Linked DNA regions of Caenorhabditis elegans. The protein of the gene in region 1 interacts with the protein of each later gene in a pairwise test. Each region holds a gene or a part of one and is shown in the gene's direction. Other genes may lie near its edges. The genes, in order: F23A7.8, rrc-1 and tag-343.

Region 1 (2,706 bases):
CCAATCGAAAGATCACATAAAATTGAAGCGGCGGAATTTTGAACTCTAAAAAAGCCATCTTAGGAATTTTCTCTTATAAATTTTTAATACGAGTTCTAGAAAACGCTGTATAACAGAGGGAGGGGAAAAATAGGGGAAAAATACGTGTAGGATGTGTTAATTCATTTAAAGTTTCTTAAGATTCAGATTTTTAAGATTCAGAACTACTACGCGATTAGAGAGAAGAAACAATTTACTCTGGACAACTGAAATTTGATAGTAGCTATTGTATAAGTAACCCATTTTGGCTATGGCTAGTGTTTAAAAAATTGTTTGAAAAAATCAATTTGGGTAGAAATAAATAGACAACGTATTGGAATTAAAGGTTTGCCTAATCTTACATGTGTACTAAAATATATAGTTCTGATTGAAAACACTTATCACCGACTTATCATTGGCCAAAATTGCATAACTGCAGAAGTGTACGTCATTATGCGCAAAACTGCCCGTTTGATGTACCAAGAATGCACCCTACCATCCTACTTACCATGGTGTACATGATAGTCGGAATATTGAAAAATACAAATAAAGTTCTTATCTTGAAGCAGTTTTACAATGAAAATTAAAAAATAATTATTAACTAGTAAAACAGTTTATATTAAAGGAGATCATACCAATATCTACAAAAACAAACAGAAAAAACATTTATAGATGTCGATTTGCAATAAAACGACCATAATTATTGCGCCGAAAAACCGGGAAGAGGACGATAGGCTGCCCAAATGTGCACTGCTATTGTCCAAAACTCTGCAACAACAATTCTTGTTTGTAGATCTTTTCTCTCGATTTCTTACTCTAGAATCTGCTCTAGAATCTGCAAACAATGCAAAACAAGTCAATATTAAACGTAACATTGCAAATTATAAGAACCTACAGTAATAATTCTCTGGTGAATTTTATTTTCCAAATATCACGCCATTTTTATGAAAGGATTGGTGAATGAATGAATATATACAGTACTACCGTACTCCTACAGTACCTCTATAGTCTCACTGCAGTACCGCGACACTACTCTGCATTCCGAGAAGTACGAGCTTGCCGCTTGCATTTATCGTTTTCCGCGAGCGGTTATGTAAATTCCAATTAAGTCATGCTGCAATGGGGCGTCGATAGCTCAGTTGGTTACAACACTGACTTGCAATCGACAGGTCACGAGTTCAAGTCCGGCCTAGTCCCCCCAGGTTTGCTCAGCCTGGAGATTGATGAGTATTCATTGGGTTGCCATCAAACCCAATGTCTTATGTCGATGGTGGTGTCGGAAAAAAATCGCATGGTCTATTCTGGAGTTGGAGCTTAACTCCGCTCCCAAAAAAAAAAAAATTTGCGTTTTCGCGCTTTTTCGTTTTCCTCAAAAACACGACATCGGTGCATTTTTTAATTCTGCATTTTTTAATTTTGAAGGTCACGAGTTCAAGTCCGGCCTAGTCCCCCCAGGTTTGCTCAGCCTGGAGATTGTTGAGTATTCATTGGGTCTTCCATCAAACCCAATGTCTTATGTCGATGGACGAAACAAAAATCGAAAGGGCTATTCTAGAGTTGGAGCTTAACTCCACTCCCAAAAAAAAATTGTTTTTTACGCTTTCGCGCGTTGTTGTTATTCTTGAAAACTCGGCATTTACGTTTCTCTCGAAAGTAAAATTTCAGTGCACTCTTTAATTCCGATATCTGAAAACCAACATTTAATAATACGGAGATATATATCCCACAAATGTTCAAAACTACAGTACTACCGTACTCCTACAGTACCCCTATAGTCTCACTGCAGTACCCCGACACTACTCAACATTCTGAGACGTACGAGCTTGCCGCTTGCATTTATCGTTTTCCGCGAGCGGTTATGTAAATTCCAATTAAGTCATGCTGCAATGGGGCGTCGATAGCTCAGTTGGTTACAACACTGACTTGCAATCGACAGGTCACGAGTTCAAGTCCGGCCTAGTCCCCTCAGGTTTGCTCAGCCTGGAGATTGATGAGTATTCATTGGGTTGCCATCAAACCCAATGTCTTATGTCGATGGATAAAACAGAAAAACGAAAGGTCTATTCTGGAGTTGGAGATTAACTCCACTCCCAAAAAAAAAAAAAAATTTTGCGCTTTCGCGCATGTACTTCTCTCCCTTCATTTTTTAAGAAGGCATTGGTGAATGAATGAATATAGTACTACCGTACTCCTACAGTACCCCTATAGTCTCACTGCAGTAGGGCTGTACAACCGGACGTCCGGTCGTCCGAACCGGACGCACATGCGTCCGGTTGGGGGTAGCTATCCACGACAGCCGACAATTTCCGAGTTTCGCCACTCACTATAAAATTGCTGATTAAGCATAGTGAGTGGCGAAACTCGGAAATTGTCGGCCGCCGTGGAAACCTACCCCAAAACCGGACGCAGTGCGTCCGGTGGTGTCAAAATCGTACGACCGGACGCCGATTTGTACAGCCCTACACTGCAGTACCCCGACACTATTCTCCATTCCGAGATGTTCGCTTGCATTTTTGATTCTGGACAATTGAAATGTATAATTTGTTTAAAATGTAAAGGTTATCGTCTTTAGAGAAATAATTCAAAACATCTCATAGATGACTAATGTTATATAATAGTAAAACTTTTCAAAATTTATTTGAATTTTTTTTCAGCCAAAAAGTGCTGAATATTCAGTTTGCTCCTACA
Region 2 (4,746 bases), 6.4 Mb from region 1:
GTTGCAGTCTTTATTAGTCTTTCACCTCTACGGGTCAATCCAAAATTTGTCTTACAAGCAAGATTGATTCAGGAAACACGGTAATTCTTTCTACAATTGTTCTGGCACTATATAATATGTTCTAGTAAGGTTATTTACAAGTTACAGCTCATAATATTACTAACAATTTGTTTTCCCTTTTGCACAAATACATTTTAATTGTCAGATCAACTTTAGGTATCCATATTTCTTAAATTACCAAAGAGTAGTTGAAAAAAAAGAAGCTAGAGCATATGACGGTCATTTTTGTCTGCAAGAACATTTGAACCAGCAAGCCCGTCTCACCCAATGCGGTGATAGTGTCAGGTGGTAGATTTGTATCGAGTGCTCCACAGAAGAGCAGCAGCTAAAGAGCATAGGGGTAGAAAAAGAAGAACGTATGTGTGTGTGTGTGCTTCGCCAGAATTGTGATACGTAGAGACAAGACGACGGAGATTGGTTGATGAGACGAAGAGAGAAACTCGGGACCCGTTGCTATCTTCTTTATCTTTAGACCGAAACTTTGAAGATGAAGAAGATGAAGCGTCCGGAAATATAACACACTAATAACCCTTCGTTTTATCATTTTTGACTCAAAATCATACTGATTAGCATCAATCGTTCAACCAGTTCTTTCTCATCCTTAACCATCCATGAAAATCCTGACACCTGTTGTGCCTAGAATTTGGTTTCAAATGGCTTGTACTTTCTCTCCTCCTTAACAACAGCAGCTGTCCACTGCGTTAGAAAACCGGAAACCCGGCACGGATCCGTGTTGGCTGCTGCCCCTGAAGAGCTTGGTTATCTTTTTTGCTAGGTGTCACAAGTGTTGATGAATTTTTGGAACCAACCTGAGCTTTTTTTCTTTTTGCGTTTTTTGTTCTACCCAGTCGAGTGATAAACGTTAATTGTATGTGTTCTAAAAAACAACACATTTTCCGAGAAAATTATGTGAAATTTGTGTATATTTAATCAAAAGTTTAGAAGCATAAAGAATATAATATAAAATATAAATTGCTTTATTTTATTTTTAGTTTTGGTTTTTTGTGTAGAATTATACGACCCTTTTTAAATTTTATGATAAATTTCTAATAATCCAGATAAATTTTGCTCTGGAACCATATTAAATTTGAGTGTATGGCTTCAAAACCTTCTTTTTTTAATTTCAAAAATAGAGTTTCCACTTAAAAGTTACAACATCAGAAACTCACTTCCTCACAACGTTTATCTTCAAATATCACGAAACGAGGTACATATATATCTAAAATCTTAATCATAATCTTCAGTTTTATCCTAAAACTCTCGAACAAGATGTTTCTGGCCACATGATTTTTTAACACATGTCTGAAGATTCTTGGTTGTTGGCTCCTAACAACGCCTGCCTTCCTATGTCATTGCTCAATTTTTGACAACTTCCAAACAGAACCCATATTTACTCCTTCAGTCACACGACAATTTAACTGATTTTCCTGATTGCCCCCTTTTCGTCCCGCTTTCCTAACTAAAAGCCGTCACTTCTCATTTGCCAACACAAATTGACATGATGTTTGCATGTAAATAATCGAACCGATCTATAAGCAAAGCGTGTGTTTATAACATGTATTTTTCCTCAAACACCACACGTTTACCTTTTATTCTCATGACTTCCGGTTGCCATTTTCAGGAAGGATAACGAGGACAACAAAAACTGGTAAAAACATTTGAAAAGCAACGTATTCATTTAAAGTGATGTAAAAAATGGAAGGCATCGAGGAATCATTTGCACCTTTATCTCCCAAAAGCCCATTTGCACGCAGAAACGGAAGAAGGTAGATTTTTCGAAATTTTTTAGATTTTCAAACTTTAAAAAATTTAATGATTTAGGTTTGCCAGAATCCTAATGCACTCAAATTTAACATTTCGTTTTCAAAATACTTATCTTTGCTTGCGCAAAAGATATTTTGAATAAAGATTTGAGGTCTGGAATTAACCATTTGAGCTAATCGGAAAAGAATTAAGAGAAAAACGGGCGAAACCCGACATTTAGATTCATCCAACTTGTTTCAAAAGCTTTCAAAAAAAGTATAATAATTTTTTAAGCACCGTGTTAATGATGCAGGGTGGCCTATAATTGTGGGCCATCGTGTAACGTAATTTCCCTTCTGTTGTGGAACTTTTTTTCAAAGTATATTTGAAACATAAATTTAATTTTATGTAGACAACTTCAATTTTACTGTAAAAACAACAATTCACATCATATGCATAAGAAATTGTTAAAAGAAGAGTAACAGTTTGGTTTGTTTTTTCTTCGTGCTACAACTGATTCTACAATCTGCTTAAAATAAATATTTTTACCAAGACGTCTTGAAGCAATTCTAAGAGTTGCAATACAGACCTGTCTTGTATTTTTGTTCTTGAAAAATAACTATGTGAAAGGTCTAAAATTCTCCAGTTTTACTAAAAACGTTTCGAAACATTGAATTGCTTCCAACAACCTTTTGATAAATGTCCTTCCATAAATCTAACCAGTGGCCCACATTTTGCAATTTGATTTTTCTGCAATCACTCTCTGGTCCATCTCTTTCTCCCCTTTCATCCCAATCAAAATTGAATGTTTCATCGCTTATCCGCTTGTCTACCGCCACGACCGGCGAGTGCAGCTAGCGTACGATGTAGTGAGCGTGGGATTACACACTCACCAACAGAACCTTGAGGAGAGACCTCTCGGCTCCTATCTATTCCATCTCAATATTTCATGTAATTGATTGAATGACTTTATTTTGGACTTTATCTATTCACTGACTACTTGCAAAGATGGATCCAGAAATACCAGGGTACAAAATATGTTGAATTTGTAGTAGAATGTTTATAAATCAAAAAATTCACTTACGGTCTCCCTCATTATATCCATTTATTTGCAAAAAATTTAGTTAGGTGAATTTAGAAAAAGGTGGTTTTTGTGTTTATCGGTTGCCCAGATAAAACAGTGCAATAAAATTGGAAAAATAATGAAGTGTATTGTTGTACATAAAAAATTTACTATTGGTTACAGTGCAACATCGAGTACTGTGAGTTTTTGAAAAATATTGATATCAAAAATTTATTTTTTTTACCGTTACAACAAGAATGGCAGGCGTTCGGCAATTCGCATCAAATTATCCACCAATTTTAGCAATTCAAGCAGTTTTCAACGAGATGCACATTTTTCAGAATCAGTGCCCCGGTGGCCGAGCGGTCGAAGGCGTGAGACTTATGATCTCATTGGGTTAAACCAGTCGCGGGTTCGAATCCCGCCCGGGGCAATATCCTTTTTTTACTATTAAATCAAGTTTTACCAAAGAATAACCATTAAAAGAAAAATAATTCGAACTGTACATTAAATAATTGTAACTACTTCAGCCCTTTTTAACCAAGTTTAGGCCACTATAGAAACATTTTCAGTGCAAAGTTTTCAGCGCATCCCCAACTTTAATTTATTTTACCCAACTTTAGCCAGTTTTTCACTAAATGCATTCCTAAAGCTGATAAGGTTGGTAGATATGTTGCGGCGTTCTTTCAAGAAAATATCTTTACATTTCTTCACCACAAACATTTTAATTGGAATATTAATGTTTTAGTATCAACTTTGTGAGTTGAAAAATTTTTGAAAGAAGCAAATTTTGCTAGCTGGAAATAATTCATATACTACTTCACTGTTTATTTCGTTGAATATCAACAATTTATTGTGTTTCAGTCTTCGCATTCAACGACTAGTCGACTGTCAACACTTCCATTATTCGTCTGTTGAATTGGGTCCCGTCCGTGTTGCCATCATCGCAATAAACGCTGACGAGAATGCAACAGAGCGGATAAAAATGCGTGTGGAAAGTGAATCAAATTCATGGTGAGTTGGTCATTCCTTCTGTTTCCAATTTGTCTTCAAAAATTCGTGCTCCGTGGTGTTTCTCTCGGTTTTTCTTTCAATGTTCTGCCACACAGAAATCAAACAAAAAAGCCACGAGTGAAGTCTCATGGGAGATGAGAATAAAGGCTGAATAAAGTTAGTACGAGGAAGAACAAAAAAGAAAAAAGAAAGAAAAACGGAAACTTGAAAGGTTTTCCATCATTGATTCATTCAGGCTTGTCGAACGTTCTCGGGAGGATTGGGCAGTCTTCGACAGACAGCTGCATCGTTGTGTGTTCGAACGAAGGCATTCACGACTTGACGAGCTGTTTCCTCTTATTCATCTGGAAACGGCAAAGTTCGAGGTGACGGCTTCTTTTCAAAATCACTAGTCATCACATTTGATGTTTACAGGAAGTTCTTGTCAAGTATACGGAGCGATTATCGGAACTCACTGGCAGCATTATAACGTGCTATCCTGTTCTGAAATTTTTAGAAGTAAGCGAAATTGTTTTTAACTCCAAACTTCAATTTAATTTAAATTTAAAACTGGCTATGGTTTAGACTTTTTACAGTATCTCTTCAAATTAGAAAAGTTAAATTAAAAAAGATTCGAATAAACCAAATGAACCCAAGACGATAAATATTTCATTTCAAGTATTGCAAACATTTCAGATAGGAAAATTTGTTTTCCTTTCTGACAGAATAGTAAGTCTGTATTTCAAAGAGTTATTCAATTATTTGAACCTTTCTCACAAAATTGGTGAGTTCTAGTACAACCTTGAAAAAATATCTTGTTCTTCTTATGATTTTGACACCACTCGCTCTTAACTGCAGTGCATATTTCATTTCTGTGTTTGTTTTTA
Region 3 (4,890 bases), 460 kb from region 1:
TGTCTAAACAATAAGTTTATTCATAACTGTGAAAAAGATAACCTCCGTGAAAAATTTTCTATATCCTACATACAATAGTTTTTTTTTTAATTTATTATCGTTTTCGAGCTAGTAGTCAATTTTTCAGTTATTTGGCTGAGTGTCCACCATAATATTTTTTCAAAAGTTTTTGAGTTTGTAACTATAATTATTAAACAAGTCTTGCAGAACATTCTTAACAAGCTGTACTTCACACTTTATTGCTTTCACTGTACCGTTTCACCATTCAATTTGGGAAGCGTTCGATCAAAAAGTGGTGACAAGGACACCCATACATGTACACCTTATACACTGCAATGGCGTAATAATTATATGAATCGTGTAGCTGCTGGAGGTTATCGAACAAAAAAAACAGGTTTCAATCCTACTACCAAATATGATATGTTCTCTTCTCCTCTATTATCACTATTATCACCCATCATCATGTATCATTTTTCTCACTTTTACGTCAAGACCATAACCGATTTATGACTTCTCAACGCTGATTTACAGCCAACCTAACGGAAAGTATTCGGCTATAAAATGATCAGGTATGTGTGTACGTGTGTTGACAGGAATGAGTTATCAGTGTGGTGGAATTCGCAGTGAGGAATACAATACAAACATGGTTAAATCGAAAATTTCCTGGAATTTTAGTGCTAGCTGAAGATGTTTTAAGTGCCCTAACATACAGTTTCGCAACAGGTCTTTGATTCTGATCTAGTACCGTTATACTTAAAAACATAAGCGGTAGAATAGGAATAAAATAATTATCATTGGTTTTGATGATAAGAACAGTTTTTGTTTCTTTGCGTGTGCACTTTCACAGCTCGGCAACCCCACATTTGTGACTCAACGTGTTTGTGCAAAATGAAATGTTCGATTTTTTCTACATTAGTTTTTTTTTGAAACTTTAAAATATGTTCTTTCTAACTGACGTTGAGATTAGTTCATCCCCTTTTTAACTGACGACTCAATTTATAAAATAATAACTTGCATCACCATATTATCTCTGCATAATTAAAAATGTTTCTTTTATAATAGTTTTAGTGCAGGTTTTCAGTTCTTTAGAGAATATCATCACAATTTAATTAGGTATCCCAGAATTTGCGTTAGAAAAGGAAATATAATTATTAGGAGAAAAATAGATTTTTCAAAACTTCAAGTAAGGTCGTTTGACGGCGACAATCCTTTTTCTCAATTTTTCAGCAGATTTGTTGCAGATTTTTAGTACTTTCTGAAAATAATTTTAAGATCTCAGCCAGATTTAGTATTATGGCAAATATTATTTTTTGGCGATTTTTTAAAATTTTCTCAAAATTCAAACGTAGAAATTATATTTTTCTCCGATGTTTCAAAAAAGTTTTTTTAAAACAATTTGTTTTCATCTTTTCTCGAATGTTTTTTGTAGTGTTGTTGACAATATATAAGTTATCCGAATGCTCTCTTGTTAAATTAATAAGTGCAGGGTAAAAAACTGCTTATTTCAAGGGTTAAATTTTGTGTTCTGGTTAATAGTATTTTAAACCCTACAATTTCTTTTTGCCCTATTCAAAAACTATTGCAGTTCAAATCGAAACCTTACACTTCATGAAAGTTTAACTAAACTGCGATGACCAAAACAAACATTTTGCATATTATACATTTTGTACGCCGCAACACATCCCAACTCAAATAACTGATCAAAACTTGTAGAGCACTTTCCGATACTCCTCTGCTCGAGGACATGATCTCCCCAGACTCGAAATTTGTGGGTGAAGCTCTCGAACAGAAGGATGTTAGGACTGTATTTGTCTCGGCGAAGGAAGGTTGGAGTCTTAATTATCTTGAGAATTTTACTGTTTTTTTTTTCAGACAACGAAGAACGCGAAAACCGGGTAGTCTTATTGTTAGGACCAACAAGTTCTCAAAAGTCAGAACTTATCGATTTTTTGTGTAATTATTTTTATGGAGTGGATTCAATGGATCAAAGGAGATTTCACATTTCCAATGAAGTATTACAATTGTAATATGAAAAAGTAAGTATTGAATTGCAGAAATTCAACTCGGAAACTCCTACAAAACCTGTACAGTGCTATATTTTTAACGAAACAAAAATGTCGGTTCGTCCTGTAATTCTGGATATGATCGCGTGTGGAGATACATAGTAGGTTTTTTTTTCAAAATTGGGAAAAAATCATAAAAGTTGCAAATTCCAATGAGCATAATAAATTATTCTTAGAATTAATGTTAAAACAAGAAATAGGATATCTACCGACTTTGGGTTTCTGGTACAAATTAAAATTAAATTAAAACTAAATTGGCCAAAACTTTACCATTTTCTTGAAACTTAGAGCAGTGTCAAATGTTCAAACCCAGTTATGTATTTAATGTACTATTGAATGTAGGCTCTTATTGGGAACAAAAGGACCGTCCCTCTAAGTCCCTCATAGCAGTCATAATCAAATGTACAATTTTGCTGTGGCGATGGAGAGGTCCATGTCATTTAACCACTGTCTTCTACCATTAGGCCAACAACAGGTCGTAAAATCTCGACTTGTTATCTGGTCGTAAATCAAAGTAAATGTAAACAGGACTAAAAAGAACTCTTCTTGTTTTATAAGGTGTTCAATAGTTTTTGGGGTTTCTAGGGACCTTACTTTTAGATTTCTATAGGTTTTGAATTCATTATTTCGAAATTATATGATTTAAATTATCGGCAACTCTTCTGTTCAAAATTCTAAAATTGCAAAAATTTTAATTGTTGAAGATTTCATAATAGGAGCATAGCTTACGTTTTGCATTTTCTCAGCCATTTTTTTGTGTGTTTTTTAACACTTTATTGAAAATCTTATACTATTTTGTTTTTTTTTAAATACGTGATAATCATTTTATTCCTTCCAGATAAATGATCCTAGTAGTTTAAATAGCCGTACGACGGGTGTTTCTTTTTACAAATTTAGCCAGAACTTGTAAAATCCTCCTCTGTTAGGAGCTTTTATGATGATAATATCTGTCTACTTTGGTTAATCTACTAAATTAAAAAAAATACATAATGTATTTCAATTGTTTATTGCAATGTATTTCAAAATTTTTTAACCACTAACTTTACGAAAAATGCAGAAAACTCTTAAGACAGTAATTTTTACAGTACAAAAAATATACAACTTGGATTAAAAAAATACAATAATAATTAAATTTCAGTGATGGTTTCGATTCGCCATCTTTAATACATAAATGGCTTCTTAACAATTGGAAGATGAGACTGGACGTTATTGCAATTGTGTTCTCACAGTTGCACAGAATGAGCATGCACGAAGAAGACGAACTGCAACAGGTATCTAGAACTTGACTTCAGATCCTACTTTCACATTTCCAGGTTCTCTCCAATCTTCCAGAACATGTACGCAACAGTATTGTTGTGTTCATCACAGCGTCCGACGGCTCCAGAACTTTCGAGCCTCTTTTACGAAGATTCGGTTTATCAGAGTGTCCCAAGTTCACTATCAACACGTCTTGTACATTTCAAAAACAAATGGGTGAGTGTGATTGAAATTTTTGTATTGATTCAGCGTTTGCATAGCTTTCTCGCGCCGTGTTAAAAGTTGTAAACAGACCGAATAGTTTTTGGCATTGAGTGCTCTCGATAAGAATTATCACTTTCCATCTCTCTCCATTTTTCGCCCTCTTTTCTCGTAAAACGTGACGACCATTTAAATCAAACATTTTCGGGCTGGCGAATCGCTAGAAAAATAAACTGCCAATCCGGCGATATTTGTTTTTTCCTGTACCTACCAGTGTGGGAATTGCAAAGAAAACGTTCTAATAATTTCAGAAGATCGGCTGAATGACGAACATCGGAGGAGATATTGGAAAATGTCTGTAAATCAATTCGATTCTTTCATGGAGAAAGTACAGGTACTTTTCAATGGCACTTTTTTGCCTAAATAGGAGATATTTACAATTTGGACCTGGTATCTTTTGAAGGCTTGAAATTGTTTGATTTCTCAGCCAGCTAATTGTTCAAAACTTTCAACTGATATGTAGTTGATAATTTGTAAACAAAAGTGGAGTATAGAAACGTTTTTGTATTGCCTCAAAATACTCATAATAGCTCCCAAAACCTATCGTGATGAAACATTGCAAAAAAATTCACAACTCTTTTTAACTTAAAGGTGGAATAGCGCCAGTGGGGATTTTGTCTAAATGTACTTAAAATTACCCGAAACAACCGAATATCATAATAATACACTCCAAAAATTTTAGGTTTTTCGTAATTTTCAGTCAAAGTTTTGGCAAGTTGTCAAAATTTTCAAAAATACGAGCTTTTGAGGAAATCCAAAGCAATTCCGCATGTTTCGACACCTCCGATGCTTTCATACAAAAAATTTAAACAAAATTAAAACATAAAAAATGTCGAAAAAAAATTTTTTTTTGGTCGACTTCCAAAAATATGAATGGCAAAAACTGAGTAATTTCCACTCTTTGACAGTACATAAAAAATTTTCAAAAAATGTTTGAAAAGTTTTATCATGATATTTGGTCATTTTGGGACCAAAGGAGTGGTTTTTAACAATTTCCAAACAATATTTACTTTGTGGATAGTGGTACATTTTCAGCCAAGAAGTATTGCAATTTTGGTGTCTAAAAACTACTAAACTTAAGAAAATTTTTAAATTTCAGGAAACCACCCCAATCACAATCTCGGGTCTCCCATTTGTGGATGATGGTATCTATGGAGTTCAGGAGTCTGGACAAAACTCGTCAAGAAGCAGTGTTTACTCCTCTAGCAAGTAGGTTGCAGTTCTTTTTTTTTCATTCCATTACATTTCCGCTTTCATAAACTAACACTCATTCTCACTCTATTATTAGATCCACAGTTATCGAAGTGGA

Evidence for each region.
Region 2: the proteins of F23A7.8 (region 1) and rrc-1 interact in a two-hybrid assay, tested with the Caenorhabditis elegans proteins (one large-scale study listed by BioGRID).
Region 3: the proteins of F23A7.8 (region 1) and tag-343 interact in a two-hybrid assay, tested with the Caenorhabditis elegans proteins (one large-scale study listed by BioGRID).

The regions. Positions count from the first base shown.
Region 1 is NC_003284.9:16,211,477-16,214,182, forward strand, and holds F23A7.8 (Ovule protein), read left to right. Parts: upstream 1-1,896; coding exon 1,897-2,100; downstream 2,101-2,706. Other genes in the region: F23A7.4 (RT_RNaseH_2 domain-containing protein), read left to right, coding at 1,130-1,336.
Region 2 is NC_003284.9:9,828,220-9,832,965, reverse strand, and holds the start of rrc-1 (GTPase-activating protein rrc-1), read left to right. Parts: upstream 1-1,677; 5' UTR 1,678-1,755; coding exon 1,756-1,826; intron 1,827-2,662; exon of another isoform or gene 2,663-2,811; coding exon of another isoform or gene 2,812-2,831; intron 2,832-3,214; exon of another isoform or gene 3,215-3,299; intron 3,300-3,730; coding exon 3,731-3,880; intron 3,881-4,115; coding exon 4,116-4,245; intron 4,246-4,294; coding exon 4,295-4,378; intron 4,379-4,746. UniProt on the Caenorhabditis elegans protein: Functions as a GTPase-activating protein (GAP) for ced-10/rac-1 and CDC42.
Region 3 is NC_003284.9:16,671,587-16,676,476, reverse strand, and holds the start of tag-343 (RNA polymerase II-associated factor 1 homolog), read left to right. Parts: upstream 1-1,744; coding exon 1,745-1,826; intron 1,827-1,872; coding exon 1,873-2,012; intron 2,013-2,054; coding exon 2,055-2,164; intron 2,165-3,201; coding exon 3,202-3,334; intron 3,335-3,376; coding exon 3,377-3,536; intron 3,537-3,832; coding exon 3,833-3,915; intron 3,916-4,680; coding exon 4,681-4,790; intron 4,791-4,869; coding exon 4,870-4,890.